2 linked regions of the Elephas maximus indicus genome follow. The protein of the gene in region 1 interacts with the protein of each later gene in a pairwise test. Links are inferred from orthologs where the notes say so. Each region holds a gene or a part of one and is shown on either strand. Other genes may lie near its edges.

What was found.
Region 2: the proteins of C7H11orf68 (region 1) and EIF4H interact in binary tests that used the Homo sapiens proteins (3 or more experiments, as listed by UniProt). The two-hybrid records come from large-scale screens. The link is inferred for Elephas maximus indicus from reciprocal best matches to the Homo sapiens genes C11orf68 and EIF4H.

Annotation. Positions count from the first base shown.
Region 1 is NC_064825.1:129,059,397-129,066,988, reverse strand, and holds C7H11orf68 (UPF0696 protein C11orf68 homolog), read left to right. Parts: upstream 1-4,623; 5' UTR 4,624-4,625; coding exon 4,626-4,744; exon of another isoform or gene 4,745-4,750; intron 4,751-4,806; exon of another isoform or gene 4,807-5,092; coding exon of another isoform or gene 5,093-5,148; intron 5,149-5,443; coding exon 5,444-6,203; 3' UTR 6,204-7,032; downstream 7,033-7,592. Other genes in the region: DRAP1 (dr1-associated corepressor), read right to left, coding at 2,227-2,332, 2,686-2,774, 3,026-3,119, 3,233-3,352, 3,672-3,765, 3,856-3,928, 4,164-4,205.
Region 2 is NC_064830.1:109,561,686-109,569,343, reverse strand, and holds the start of EIF4H (eukaryotic translation initiation factor 4H), read left to right. Parts: upstream 1-4,470; 5' UTR 4,471-4,520; coding exon 4,521-4,579; intron 4,580-7,658. UniProt on the Homo sapiens protein: Stimulates the RNA helicase activity of EIF4A in the translation initiation complex. Binds weakly mRNA.

The sequences.
Region 1 (7,592 bases):
CAGTCTCCTTTGGTGTCTGTCCCAGTCCCTCTCCTCTCTACTTTGTCATGGTTCACACACCTGTCTCCCACGTCCACCGCCCACTTGACAGCACCCCTTTTAGCAGTCTCAAGGTGTGATGGTTAATTTTCTGTGTCAACTTGGCTAGGTTATGGTTCCCAGTGGTTTGGCCAAACTAGACTAGCTGCTGTTCCTCCAATGCAATCTAACGTAGTTATCATTTTCCATAATCTAGTTTAATGCAATCAGTTGAAAAGGGAGTTTCCTCAGCGTGTGTTCTGCCTTTAGACTATGTTGTTGTTGTTGTTAGGTGCCACTGGGTCAGTTCCGACTCATAGTGGCCCTATGTACAACACAACGAAACGTTGCCCGGTCCTGTGCCATGATCACAATCGTGATACTTAAGTCCATTGTTGCAGCCACTGTGTCAATCCATCTCGTTGAGGGTCTTCCTCTTTTCCACGGACCTCTACTTTACTAAGCATGATGCCCTCTCCAGGGACTGATTCCTTCTGACAACATGCCAAAGTATGTAAGATGCAGTCTCGCCATCCTTGCTTCTGAAGAGCATTCTGGTTGTTCTTCCAAGATAGGTTTGTTCCTACTTTGGGCAGTCTATGGTATACACAACATTCTTCACCAACACAATTCAAAGGCGTCAATTCTTTTTCGGTTTTCCTTTTTTTTTTTTTATTCATTGTCTAGCTTTTGCACGCAGATGATGCGATTGAAAATACCATGGCTTGGGTCAGGCGCACCTTAGTCTTCAAGGTAACATCTTTGCTTTTCAACTCTTTAAAGAGATCCTTTGCAACAGCAACGACTTTAGACTGTAAGTATTTTAGGTATTTGGGCAGAATGCACTCTCCACTCTGCCCTCTGTCGTCTGATCTACAGATCTTGAGATTAAAGCCTGCATTAGTCTCCAGCCTTTCACCTGACCCACGAATTTTGTACTTGTCAGTCCACCACAATCCTGTGCACCAAATCCTTGAAGTAAAGCCGTGTATATATACAGAATAAGATCTGGTGGTGAAAAAGGTTAAGCACTCAGCTACTAACTGAAAGGTTGGTGGTTTGAACCCACCCAGCGACTCCGTGGGAGAAAGACCTGGCAATTTGGTTTCTTAAAAAATATAACCAAGAAAACCCTACGGGGCAGTTTTACTGTCATGGGGTCACTGAGTCAGAGTCAAGTCAATGACAGCTAACAACGTGCATATATATGCATACATGTATAGCTCACTGGTTCTGTTCCTCGGGAGACTCTTAAGATACATAAGCACTCCAATTAATCACAGACACACTTGTGATCCCGAGGCCACATCGTCCTCTTCCTCCTGTGGCCCCCAGCTGGAAAAAGACCCCACCCCCACTGAAGTTGCTAAAGAAAGAAACCTGGGGGTTGTCCTTGATAACTCCCTCCCTCTTGGCCCCATGTCCGGCCATTGACAGTGGTCTTCACGGAGGCCCTGTCTGTCCACTGCCCTTCGGACCCCTGCCCCACCTGACCCAGGCTGCTATGGCCCTTGATACCCTCCTGCAGGGTTCCCTGCTCCTTGATGCCTCCACAAGGAAGTCATTGACTTGTTAAAACCAGATATAATCACAGCCTCCCTGGTCAGAAATGCCTGTTGAATGACCAACTGTGTCACTGCCCAGCTCGAAAACCGGCACGAAGCCCTTCATGATGATGCCTACCGTGCCGCTGCTCCTTCCCACACCCTCTATCACACCAGGCGCAAGTGGGTCTTCAAAGCCCATTCCCATTACTTATCCCGCCTAGCCCTCCCCAGCAGCCCAAGGTGGGTGGAGTGGGCTCCACGCAAGAGATGAGATTGCTAAGAAAAGGGCAGGAGCCTGCCCCGTGCCCCCCAGCATACCCAGCACCTGCTGGCTCAGCCCCCAGGCCGCTCCACCCGCCTTCCTTTCATCAACATCTTTAGGCCTGCCCCAGGCAGAACCTTAGACTCTGGCCTCTCCAGTGGACCTCTCCCTTCCCTTCACTCAGCCACTGCCCAGCCCACCACTGCCCCTGGGCCCAGCTCAGTGGGGGGAAGGCAGGTGAATGGGAAAGTGGCCACAGAGCCCCAGACAGAGACTGGAACAAACACCGATGTTCCCTTTTATTTTTTTAATAAATTTAAGAACAGCTTTCTTTTCTCCCCCCCCCCCAGAACAACTAAAACCAACTAAAAGGGGGTGTAGCCTGGGGGGCAGGGGGCGCTAGGAGTCATAATCCTCTTCATCCTCTGCATCTGGTCCTGATGGGCCCGGGGGTGCTAGGGGCAGAAGCACAGTCGAGGTGAAGGGCATGAAGGGTGTCGGGGGGCTGTGAGGCAGAAAGCAAGAAAGGCTGATCAGACCACGCTCTGGGCCCATTCCTGCCTGTGGAGCCCCACCCCACCCTCTACAGAGGCAGGCAAGGAGCCCATTACCCTTTGTGCCCACAGGAAGCCATGCCCCAGAGAAGAGAAAGGCCCAACGAAGGTCAAAGAGCTTTGTCAAAGCTCTGTCCACTGTCCCCACCTGGGGGGAAAAGGGGCCTTCTGAGAGCACAACTCAGTTCCTCCCAGTTCCCCCCAAATCTGCTACAATCCACAGAACCAGTGTCCGTAGAGGACAAGAAGGACAGGCCGGCCTTGGCAAGTGGGCTGGTCCTCCTGGCTCGGCTAAGCTGCTTACCTTTGAAAGTGGGGAGGGGGATGGCTGGCCTGGGGTGGGGGCTGTGGTGTCTCCTCTTCCCCCTCTGTGTCCGTGTCCTCAGACTCATCCTGTAACGGAAATGGGTCAGAGTAACAAGAAAAGGGATGTCTAGACCTATCACTGGGGACCCCAGAGCTCTGGGAGTGGTGGGACAGGACACAGATCCCAACAGATCCAATTTACAAACAAAGAAACTAAGGTGTAATATGGTTTCTGGTAAGGATGGGTACCAGCCTCCAGCCAGCTCAGCCTGATGCTGAGGCTTCCAGGTGCCACCCTCTCCATCACAGCTGGGCCAGACAGAGCTGGGCCTCCTCACCTCCTGCTCTGAGTCCGTCCCTGACAGCTTCTTGTCCTTGCCTTTGCTGCCCATGCCACCGTTCTTCCGGCTGCTGGTGCCTGGCTTCCGGCCCCTTTGGGAAAGTACAGTCCATGTGCCCAGGGGTCTCCCCTCTCCTGAAGCACCCCCAATCACCACCTACCCCTGTGGCCTTGGCCTTCCCTGCCTGGACACCTGGCCCCCCACCTGCGGGCACCCTTGTCTCCATCCATGTGGTTGTCTTCCCCGTCCCCCTGCATGTCAGGCACGGAGGCCACCAGGTCCTTCAGAAAGTCAAACTGCTGCTCCAGTTCAATGCACTGCTTCCTGGAAGAGAGGGAAAACAGCACTCAGACAGGGTACTCGGGTAGGGCCCAGCGAAGTGGCCAGGATGTCAGGGAAGGGGGAACTATAAGAGCTCCCTCCCCGTCTCCACCACCAAACCTGTGCTCTCTGCTCAGGTTATTTCCCCAGCCTGGAACACCCAGGCCTTGCTTCACGGGTCCAATCCCACTGTCTCCAAGCCGTCTCCCACCACCCTCTTGTTTAGAGCTCCCCCGCCTAGGAGGTAGAGTACAGCCCCCTTAAGAGAGAGAACTCGTGAACTTCTCGGCCAGGACCCCTCCCAGCCCCGCGGGCCACTCACAGGTGGGACGTGGTCATAGTCTTGGCATTGCGGGACTGGGTCACCTGGCAGGCCTTCTTCAGCAGCGACTCCAGGAAGAGCTCCAGCGCCCGGGCTGAGCGGTGTTAAGGAGAAGATGGTAGGGGGATTCCCGACCTGCCCCCCTCTCCCACGCCCCCCAACCGGCCAGCCCCCGGCAGGATACAGATGATGACAGGCACAGCCGCCGCCACCTTCCCAATCTCCTCGTCAGTCTGCATGATCTTCTTGATTCGCGCCTGGGGAGAGGGGCAGAGTTCGGACCCCACCACTTCCTTCATGAAAAAGGGTACTGGGGGTACGAGAGGGAATTCCGGGAGAAATGCGCGGGAGGGGGGGGCACAGAAGGGGGAAGGGAAGGGGGCGGGGCGTCCGGGCCCCCGGACGCCCGAAGTGCCCGCCCCCCCCAGCGGGGCTCGGGCCGGGCCTCCAGGGAGCCGGGCCTGCTCCACCCCAGCCTGGCCACGTGCTCACCGGCGGGAACCGCGCGTTGTACTTCTTCTTCTTGCTCGGCATCTTGGGGCCTCTCCCGACGCGCCGGGCCCAGCGCCGCCGCCCGCAGCCTCCCGGCCCCCGGGCCTGCTCACCGCCCGCCCGTCGCGCTTCCCCCGGGTCCTGGCGCCGCCTGCTCCGCCCCCCGCCGCTGCCCACGGGGTCCTAGTGCCGCCGCTCAGGACGAAGCTCGCAGCGCACAGGGCCCTCCCCTTCACCCTCCGGGGCGGTGCGCGTCTCCTCCGGCCGTCCGGCCCGCCTCTCCCTCCGGCCCTCAAGGCCTGAAGATCGAACGTTAGCTCCGCCCCCCGGCCGGCCCGCCCCCTCTGGTTCCCGCGATGGCCCCGCCCCTTCCTGTCGGCCCCGCCCAGCCCAGCTGCCCGGCGGCCCCGCCCCGTGGCTGCGCTTGTCTATAAAGTTGTTGTTGAAGCGGCGAGCGCTAAGATGGCGGCGGCGGCGGCGGCCGTGGCGGGGGCGGGGCGCGGTGGTGGCGGCGCGGAGCCCCGGCAGGAACGGAACCGCGCCCGGGGCTGGGCCGGAGCCGAACGCAGCGACGGCCGGAGGTGACGGTGGGGCCGCGGGAGGGGTAGGGCTGGGGCGGGGGCCTTGGTCGGTCTGCGGGTGCTAATGGCGGCGGGCGCGGCGGGGCCGGCGGCTGGCCCTCCGGCAGGCTCTAACCAGCCAAGGTTCGAGTCCGGGCACCGCCCCATCGGCCTCGGTCCCGTCACTGCCTCCGTGGGCCACAGTGTCCTCGTCTTTAAGTGGGCACGACGACGCCCACCGGGAGGCCTGGTCCACAGGGCGCGCCTTGGGTGCTGCGTGAATGTGCCTCCCTCCATTAAATCCAGAGCTCCGGATCCCTGCCGGGCTGAGACCAGACGAAGAGCGCTTTGATAGGGCCAGGAGGCGTGATGGGGCCGGGAGCTTCCACCCCTGGATTCACATTTTTCTCTGCCACTCAGTACAGGTGTGACCTTGGGCAGTTCCCTTCTCTCTGAACGTCAGTCTTCTTGTCTCTAGGTCAATGAGAGTAATGACAATGGCAGTAACACTTATGTAGCGCTTACTGCACCTCAGGCATTTAATTCTCACGGCAGCTCTGTGAGACAGGGAAGGTTGTTACTCCGTTATGAAGTAACTGAGGCACAGTGATATTAAGTCTTGCCCAAGGCCACACAGTTTAGGCCAGTGCCTGGCACCTGTTAGGGCCCAGCTATCGGTAGTTATTGTCCCAGACCTGCCCTGACTCAATTCCCTCACAGCAGGATGGAGTCCGGTGAGGAGCCAGAGGAAGAGGACTCTCCAGGCGGCCGGGAGGATGGTTTTACCGCTGAGCACTTGGCTGCAGAGGCCATGGCAGCTGACATGGACCCCTGGCTGGTGTTTGATGCCCGCAGTACGCCCGCCACTGAGCTGGATGCCTGGTTGGCCAAATACCCACCATCCCAAGTTACCCGCTATGGGGACCCTGGCTCACCCAACTCAGAGCCTGTGGGCTGGATCGCAGTGTATGGGCAGGGCTACCTCCCCAATTCTGGTGATGTACAGGGTCTGCAGGCAGCTTGGGAGGCTCTGCAGACTAGCGGGCGGCCCATCACACCCAGTACCCTGCGCCAGCTGGCTATCACTCACCAGGTGCTCTCAGGCAAGTGGCTGATGCACCTGACACCTGGCTTCAAGCTGGACCATGCCTGGGCTGGCATTGCCCGAGCCGTGGTCGAAGGCCAGCTTCAGGTGGCCAAGGTGAGCCCACGGGCCAAGGAGGGTGGGCGCCAGGTCATCTGTGTTTACACAGATGACTTCACGGACCGCCTGGGTGTACTGGAGGCAGACACAGCCATCCGGGCTGCAGGCATTAAGTGCCTGCTCACCTACAAGCCTGATGTCTACACCTACCTGGGCATCTACCGAGCCAACCGCTGGCACCTCTGCCCCACTCTCTACGAGAGCCGTTTCCAGTTGGGAGGTGATGCCCGCGGCTCTCGTGTGCTTGATCGAGCCAACAATGTGGAACTGACCTAGTGGGGCCAGGCAAACAAGACCACCTTGGGATGGACCATCCATGCCAGTATGGATGTTCCCACCTTCCTCCTTGTCACCCCAAGGAGGCCAGGCCCCAGCTTTGAGGACTGGGTTAGCTCTTTTGGAAACTGCCTGCATCTTTCATTCCCTTGAATCTCTGCCCTCTGATCAGGACTAATGCCAGCCCCCACAAGTGGCGGGGCTCTGGCTTGCTGAGGGCCGGGCCCTCAGCCTCTCTTCGCTGCTGCTCCCCTCAACCTCCCAGGACCACAGGCCGGGGCCAGATGCTGGGGGAGAGCCGTCCTTGGCCACCCCCGTCACCCCACCAGGCTGCACCTTGCCTCCTCCTGCACTGTCCCTTTCCCTTCCTCCTTCACGAGGGAGAAAACTCAGTGCTTCCAGTCTTTCCCCTTGGAGCCTTCTAAGTCCACAGGGCAGGGGTCCTGCGGGCCTGAGCATGCCATTGGGGGTAGAGAAGTAGTTGTGTCACTCAGCCCCTGGCAGAGAGAGGGGACACCAGGGCCCAGGTCACCGGGCCTGCCCCTCCGTGAGATTTACAGCCTGCACCACCTTCCTCCCCTCCTCATATCTTGTCACGTGCCTGCTCCTGGCATTTCAATAAAGCCCAGCTTGGGTCTGTGTCTTGAGTGTTTTTTAAGGCTGTATTGGTGGTTACCTCCTTTGGCTGCTGAAGAGATGCAGAGCCAGGAGAGGACTGCTCCCCAGGCCTGGCCTCCTGTCTGCCCACGGTACTAAGACATGCCTCACCAAGGCCCGGCTCCTCTCAGAACCTCTGTGAAGCCAGCCCTGCTTGTCCCATCCCAAAAATCAGAATCAGTGATTTCCTATAAATGCAAGGGCTTGGCCCTTCCAGAAAGGCCCAAGGGGCCACTATTAGCCTCATTTTTAGGTGTGATATATGTGCCTGTATATGTATAGCATAATGTATTTGGGCATATTAAAGAAAGATGCCCGCTGGGAGAGGCAGCCTGGGCAGGCCTCATGGTTTGGTGAATGGAGAATGGGCTGCATTTCAGTGTCCTAGGCTGGACACACTAGTGCAGGGAACAACCTACACAACCTTCAGTGATGGTCCTGGAAGGTCTCCCATTTATACTCACCTCTCACACTGCCCTGTCAGAGGGGCCACTGGACAGTTTGCAGAGCACTTCCACATGCATCATTGAATTCTCACGTCTTTCTGAAAGAGGTATTGGCCCCATTCTGTGGTCAGGAACACTGAGGCCCAGAGGGGAAAGGGAGTTCCCCAGGATCATGTGGTGAGTTGAGCAGAGACAGCTAGAATTTGCACCCCACCCCTGCCTCCTCTGCCTCTAAGAGGAAACCTCACCCACGGTTAGCTGTTCACAACCCACAAAGCACTTTCAC
Region 2 (7,658 bases), on another chromosome or scaffold:
CCGTGGCAGAGTTGTTAGTGGCAGCAGAAATCTGCTGAGGCTAAGAGAGCTGAACAAAACTGCTACACTAACTATGATTCGGGTCAGTTAACAACACAGAGGCCAACGGCAGGGAGGCAGAAGACGGAGAGGCCTGTCTTAAGGGGGCTGAGAGGAAGCCTGTCCTGAGGGGGCCAAGAGGAGTCCTGCATGGCTGAGAGGAGGCGTGTACAGCAGAGATGGGCTGGCTTGCTTGCTTGCTTGCATGGCTGAGACCAGCTGAGAGAACTGTCCTGCGCTGAAGAAGGAATGTGCTCCCCTGTTCGAAGGAGCCTCCCAGACTGCCTACCTGCTTCCTGACCCTGATCCCGAGCTGTAGCCTGTGGATCCTGATCCCGAGACATACCCGTTACTTCCTTCATAAATCACTTAAATGTAAGCATGGTCTGTGTGTTCTGTGTGGTCACTGCAACAGATTATCAAACCCAGAAGAGAAGTAGAGAATGCCATGGGAGAGACAGCTGCTGTCAGAATTAGTAAAAAGGTCGGAGAGTGGAAGTGTGTCGGACCTCCACCTCCGAGTAACCAGCTTTGGGCTGATCCTGGTCATTACTCTCCCTGAAGTCAGACAGGCTCTGACACTACTACTAGAATTTTACACTAGCCAAGTTGAGGGAATGATGAAAAAATGGTTTTAATCTGACTAAATATTTCTGATTCCAGTTTTCATTAAAGCAACAGCTATTTATTGAGCACCTTCTATGACACAGGCCCTGAGCAAAACAAACTCCCTGTTTTCAGGGAAGACACACAAGTCAGGTGGTGATGAGTGCTAGCAAAAGGAACCGAGCAGGGCACTGGAGAAACAACTGGGATCTGTCTTTATTTCAGATAGGGCAGTTAGAGAAAGAGAAGAAAAGGTGGGAGCCTTGAGGGCATCAGAGGGAAGAGTAATCCAGGCAGAGGGAGGGCAGAGGTGGGAAGGCGATGGGTATGAGAGAAAGAGCAAAGAGGCCAGCGTGGCCGGGAAGATGGGCAGGCCATCCAGGTCTTGTAAGGACTTTGACACCCACTGTGAGGAAGGAAGGCGGGTTTGAGCACAGGGAAGTGACCAGATCTGGGCTTTGGACAGAACACACGACTGCAACACAGAAAACAGACTGGGTGGGGGAGCAGCACAGGAGCTGAAGTGTCTTCTTCAAATGTATCTATCTCTTATTTGATACGTTTCAGATCTTTTTGAAAAAAAAAAAAAAAATTTTAGCTACATTGCAAAGTCTGCACATTTTTAGTGCTAGCAAGCTACCGTTTTGGTTTCAAACTAAACATTTTTCAGTATATTTTTGTCTTCTTTATTTTCGTCACGTATAGGTGGAGATTCCATGTGTCAGTTTCAATTTTCTCACATTCATACTCACTTGTTGGCAAAGCCTCTGACCTAGAGTAACACTTGTGCTTGCAAGAGAAGGATCTATGTAGATTTGTAGAGTATCAGCATGTCTTTTCATATAAATTGAATATTTAAGTCAATGATCTTAATTCCACACGAAAACAATATTTCAGATTTTTTAAAACAATTAGAAGTATGACACCAACAAATACCAATATTTCAGACCTTAAAAATAGCAAGAATAGTGAAAACCAGTACCACAAGGACTATTACTCCTATAGACGAAGAACTCGGTTCAGAGAGATTAAGCAACTTGCTTGAAGTCACACAGCTAGTAGTTGGTGGCTCGAATTTGAACACAGGCGGTTTGAAACGTGAAGCCACTGGTTTCACTATGACACCAAAGGCTTCTCAGAGGTGACGTCTGAGTCGGGCCTTCAAAGGGGTTGTCCTTCCCCTAGGGCTCAAGTGAATTAGTAAAGGCTGGGATATCCACTCTGGGGAAGGAATTAGGAAGCAAATTAGGAGCAAACCTGACTGGACAACTAACTTTTGTCATTGAGGCACATGCTCTGTTTATGGAACTTTCTTAAGTTGCGTTCAATCCTCTGGATCCTGTGTGGGAGGTAGACTGTGTGCTTGAAGCCAAGAGACAGGCCTACGGATTGGAGTCTGGGAGTGTGGTCCAAGCGACTGGTCTCGGGTTCTGCTGGGTGGAAACGGGGACTAAGCCAGGAGGGAGGGGATAACCCATGGAGGTCCTGGTGCTGAGGGAGGCCCAGCCATAGGCCTTCCTAGGAGCTCTCCCTCCCTTTACTTCATTGCTAATAAATTACCCGTCTTTCCTCTCCTGTAGGGTCCTGTGGGAGATGACAGACAGAGCCTCCTCTATGTGGTCCCTGTCCTCCAGGACATCACCTCGAGGTGACTTTGGACTAAAAATGCACAGACTTTGGAATAAGAAATGTTAAGGCTATCCAGGAATAATTACTAAGGTTTCATTTATTAAAATGCCATTTGTTGTTGTTGTTGTCAGCTGCCGTCGAGTTGGCCTCCAACCCATGGTGACACCACGCACAACAGGCTCGAACTGTTGTGATCCACAGGGTTTCCATTGGCTGACAGTCTGTCTGGAAGTTAGCATCAGAGAACACCAAAGCTTCCACTGGCAGACAGGTGGTGACTGTGCCTGGGCTACACCGACTGAGAGTCAAACCCAGCATGACAGGCAAGACTTCTACCTCCGAACCACCACTGCCCCCTAAAACGCATTCAGGTGCATTTTAACAGCAATGGAGCTATGGGGCAGGGATGTGGAGGAGGGACCTAACTTAAAGCTGTGGAGGGAGAGGAGAAACCATTGGTTCTTCTCTGAGTCGTGTGGTAGAAGTCAAAGCTGCGTGGCCTCCCGCGACTCACTTGCTTACTCTGGGCCTGTTTCCTCAGCTGTAAAGAAATTTGGAAATTATATATGTAAAACACCAGAAGGGTACCAGACACATGGTACATGCCAAATACATATTATTTTGTGCTAGGATTTTAACAAATATTTACTCGTTTAATCTTTACAACACTGAAGAGGTAACTGCTGTCGTTCCTCAAAAGGTGAGGAAACTGAGCTGTTAGAGCTTAGGTAACGTACCTGAGGTCACACAACCAGTTGGAGGCAGAACCCAGGCCAAGTCTGTTGTTGCTGTTAGGTGCCATGTGACAGGATAGAACTGCCCCATAGGGTTTTCTACGCAGTAATCTTTAGGGAAGCAGACCATCTGGTCTTTCTCCCAAAGAGCCACTGGGTGGGTTTGAACCAGCAACCTTTCGGTCAGCAGCCAAGCTCTTAACGGATGTCAAAGTTCCTGTTCTCTTACTCGGAAAGAAAAAGGGACAGAAAAACAAAAAATGAGTTAACGGCTGCTTTGCCAACCCCGGTACAGGGATAAGGTATGGGAAAATGTTTAATATATAAAAATACTGTGTGAGTGTAAGATACCTGGGTATACACTGCAAGAAGATTCTGTGAAATTCCTTTAAGTTGGGCCGAAAACACAGTAGGGCTCGTCAACATCGGTACCTCCACGGTAGGAGTATCTGACCTTACTGCCATCTCGGTCTAAAACCTGAGAAATCAGCCAGGCGATTAATCGATTAATCGGCATTGCAAATTCACTCTCTGCAGCCGCCAGAGAATGGACTTCACGTCTGGGTTCCACTGTTCCCGGCCCAACGACTCCCTCGTTTAACCACCGCCTACACCCTGTGACCCCCGCCCCCCAACAGCCAGGCGCGGCGTAGACCTCCGAGGGCAGAGTTCACCCCAGCACCCTGTCTCCGCTCGGGGTTCGCCCCAGCACCCAGTCTTCCCTCGGGGTTCGCCCCAGCACCCTGTCTCCGCTCGGGGTTCGCCCCAGCACCCTGTCTCCGCTCGGGGTTCGCCCCAGCACCCTGTCTCCGCTCGGGGTTCGCCCCAGCACCCTGTCTCCCCTCGGGGTTCGCCCCAGCACCCTGTCTCCGCTCGGGGTTCGCCCCAGCACCCTGTCCCCGCTCGGGGTTCGCCCCAGCACCCTGTCCCCGCTCGGGGTTCGCCCCAGCACCCTGTCTCCGCTCGGGGTTCGCCCCAGCACCCAGTCTCCCCTCGGGGTTCGCCCCAGCACCCTGTCCCCGCTCGGGGTTCGCCCCAGCACCCTGTCTCCGCTCGGGGTTCGCCCCAGCACCCTCAGCTCCGCGCGCTCTGCACCCTGCGGAAGGCGGCCCTCGCTCTGCTGTCACCCGGCCACCCCCGGCCGGGAGAGGGGCCGCGCAGGGTCGGGGCGAGGCCGGAGGGCCGCAGCCGGGAGCGCGGGGCAGCCGCGGCGGGGGGGGGGGGGGGACGGCACCGAGCCAGCACACAATGGGCCGGGCGGGCCGGTGGGCCGTCTGGCGGGGCCGAGCCGGCAGGAAGGAGGGCGGCCCGGGACCCCGCGCCGCGCCACGTGGCCAGGAGAGCCACGTGGCCAGGAGAGCCCGGGGCGCAGGCCGGGCGCGGCTTGCGTGCGCGCCCCCGCGCGTGCGTGCGATTTGCGATCAGGCGGCGCGGCGGACAGCCCGGCGGCGGGGCGGGGCGGAGCGCGGGGTCCTTGGGCGCGCAGCCTGGTTCCCTCGGAGGAGACGGCAAATGGCGGACTTCGACACCTACGACGATCGGGCCTACAGCAGCTTCGGCGGCGGCAGAGGGTGAGGCGGCGGGCGCGCGGGCCGCGGCCAGGCGGCGGGCTCGGGGCTCGGGCGCTCGGGGCGGCGGGCGCTCAGCTCTCCGGGGCGGGCGGGCCCAGAGCCTGGGAGGCGCCCTGAGGCCTGGGAGGCGCGGGGCCTGGAAATGGCGCGCCCGGCGGGGTCGCGGCCGTTGGGCTCCCGGGCCCTGCTCGTCGGCGCGTCCTCCGTGTGGCTGCCGCCCACCCCGGCGTGTCGCCCGCCTCGCGCCCCGTTGCCCCCTGGCAGCCGCGGCCGCGCCCCGAGGCCGAGCTCCGCTTCCGCCGCGTCCCCCGGGAGGGCGCTGCTGGGGCTCGGGGTGCAGCCGGGGTTCGGGGTGCAGCCGGGGCTCGGGGTGCCGCTGGGGCTGCCGGGGCGCTGCCGGGGTTCGGGGTGCTGCCGGGGCGCTGCCGGGGCTCGGGGTGCAGCCGGGGCTCGGGATGCCTCTGGGGCTCGGGGTGCAGCCGGGGCTCGGGGTGCCTCTGGGGCTCGGGGTGCAGCCGGGACTCGGGGTGCCGCCTCCCCCGGGCCCGGGTCCTCCTCGCCGGCAGCCGGCTGAGGCCAGGTCGGAGGCCGAGGGGGACAGATTGGGGGCCGGAGCCCGGGAGCGGCCTGATTCACGGCGGGCGGCGGGGGAACCAACGAAAACAAATACATTGTAGCTTTTTTTTAAAAAAACTTTTTAATCTTTCCGAGGGGTCATAGTGCCTGTTGCCAAGCACTGTGTGCGTCCTGGCAGAGAATTGTATTTCCCTCTGGTTTTCCGTTCTGACCTGCAAAGGGGATGGCATTTAGGCTCTTCCTGAGTTTGGTCAAACGCAGAAGGCTACAGTTGAAGCTCTTTGTTGACAAGAAAGACCCTTGAGTGGTGAATAAAAAGCTTAGGGCGTTTAATTCCAGGAACCTGCACTGTTGTGTGTGTGTTTTCGCCCTAATGCTCTGTTGTTGTTGTGTGTGTTTTCCCCCTAATGCAGGGTACCTCATAGAGAATTGAGAAGATGGTGTGTAAGACACCTTGCTGTTTGTCAAGGGCCCACTTGGACTTTGTAAAAGAGACAGAATGGATAACTTTCCCAGGATTAACACCCCAGTGGTACCTACTGAGGTGTCCCCTCTCCTGGGTTACAGCGCCAAACTATCTTTGTTTGGTGAAGAATGATCACTTTTAATACCTGGGTTTGGGAATGACTTAAACAAAGGCTTGTATTGGTGCAGGAGTGTAGCCAGTATCAAGCCTGACACTATAACATGGAAGTTGGGGGGTGGAGCTACCTGTTATGGTATTTCAAAGGATATTTTATTTGCTAATAAAAAAGAAATAGATGTTGGATGACTTGGAATTGTTGCCTTTGGGGTAGGTTTCTAGACACCAAATTTGTACTTCATTCATCTTGAATCTAGTAACTAGTCATTTGGATTTTTTTTTCTCCCTCTAGTTTCAAAAAATGTTCAGTAGTACCCAGGAACTCTTCTGTGCTTAAACAGAGTGGAATTCAATTTAAGGCAGATCCAAGGGGTTTTAGTTGTAATGGGACTGGACAATAAGGTGGTCGTAATATACCGAGCCTGGGTTCTTTGTTTTGTTTTTTTAATCTTACCTTTAGACAATAAAGTCTTCTGGTAACTTTAGGAGTTCAAGTTAGACTCTCCTAAGCTTCCTAACCCTGGTGACAACTGGTTAAGAGCTAGGCTGCTAACCAAAAGGTCAGCAGTTCGAATTTACCAGCCGCTCCTTGGAAATTTTACTCTGTCCGATAGGGTCTCTATGAGTCGGAATTGACTCAGCGGCAACAGGTTTGGTTTTTTGTCTTTTCTTTTAAGCATCTTATACACCTGACCTCCTTGGAATTTTCCATTTGGCTTTACATTCCTGTAAAAGTACATAGAAACTATTGCTCTTTCCTAAAAGTAGTTTATAAAACCTGTCGGTGATTTTGTGTGTTGACTTACGCAGTGTCTAGACTGGGTCAGGGTACCTCACAGAGGACCATAGATGGAGTGGTGTGGTCTGTGGAAAAGCACTCGTATTCTGAAGGGTCACTGTTTTTAATTTTAGGAGATCGGGAGTTATCAGTGATTGTGGTCTGAAATTTAGCGATGCAGTATTATAGTTGACCAACCCCAAAAAATCCAAACTCTTTGCCATCGAGTAAATTCTGACTCATAGCGAACCTATAGTTGACCAAACCCTTTGCCATGGAGTAAGTTCTGACTCATAGCGACCTTATAGTTGACCAGACCTTTGCCATCGAGTAAGTTCTGACTCATAGCAACCCTACAGTTGACCAAACCCTTTGCCATGGAGTAAGTTCTGACTCATAGCAACCCTATAGTTGACCAAACCTTTGCCATGGAGTAAGTTCTGACTCGTAACGACCCTATAGTTGACCAAACCCTTTGCCATGGAGTAAGTTCTGACTCATAACGACCCTATAGTTGACCAAACCCTTTGCTATGAAGTAAGTTCTGACTTATAACGACCCTATAGTTGACCAAACCCTTTGCCATGGAGTAAGTTCTGACTCATGGCAACCCTATAGTTGATGAAACCAAATGAAAAAACCATTGCCGTTGAGTCAGTTCGAGTCATAGCAACCCAGGGAGTGCCTGGTAGATTCAAACTGCCAGCCTTTTGGTTAGCAGCCAAACTGTTAACCGCAGTACCACCGGGGTTTCCTGTAGTTGACCAGATACCCTTTAATGATAATTTTTTTGTTATTTGAATTATGCTGACATCAGCAAATGTCTCGGTGCTTTTGTTCGGTTGCACCCAGATACAGTGTCTGAATGTTAAAGAGTCCACCTGTGCAAGGCCAGCCTTACATTGTTTTGTTTGGTACTTTTGTAAGGCGTCTTCCCCTAGTCTGAAACACCTTAAACTAGGGTCATAGGTGACCCAGGTCTGAAACGTATGGTTTTAATCAATAAGTGTACATTCCCCGTAAGTTTATTTTGTGGTAGTGTTTGATAATCAGAACAGTAGTCGGGAAGCTCTCTTGAACAGCTTGGATTTCAGATGCCTCCTTTTCTAGTCCTACACTTGGAGGCAGGTGGGATGTGCCAG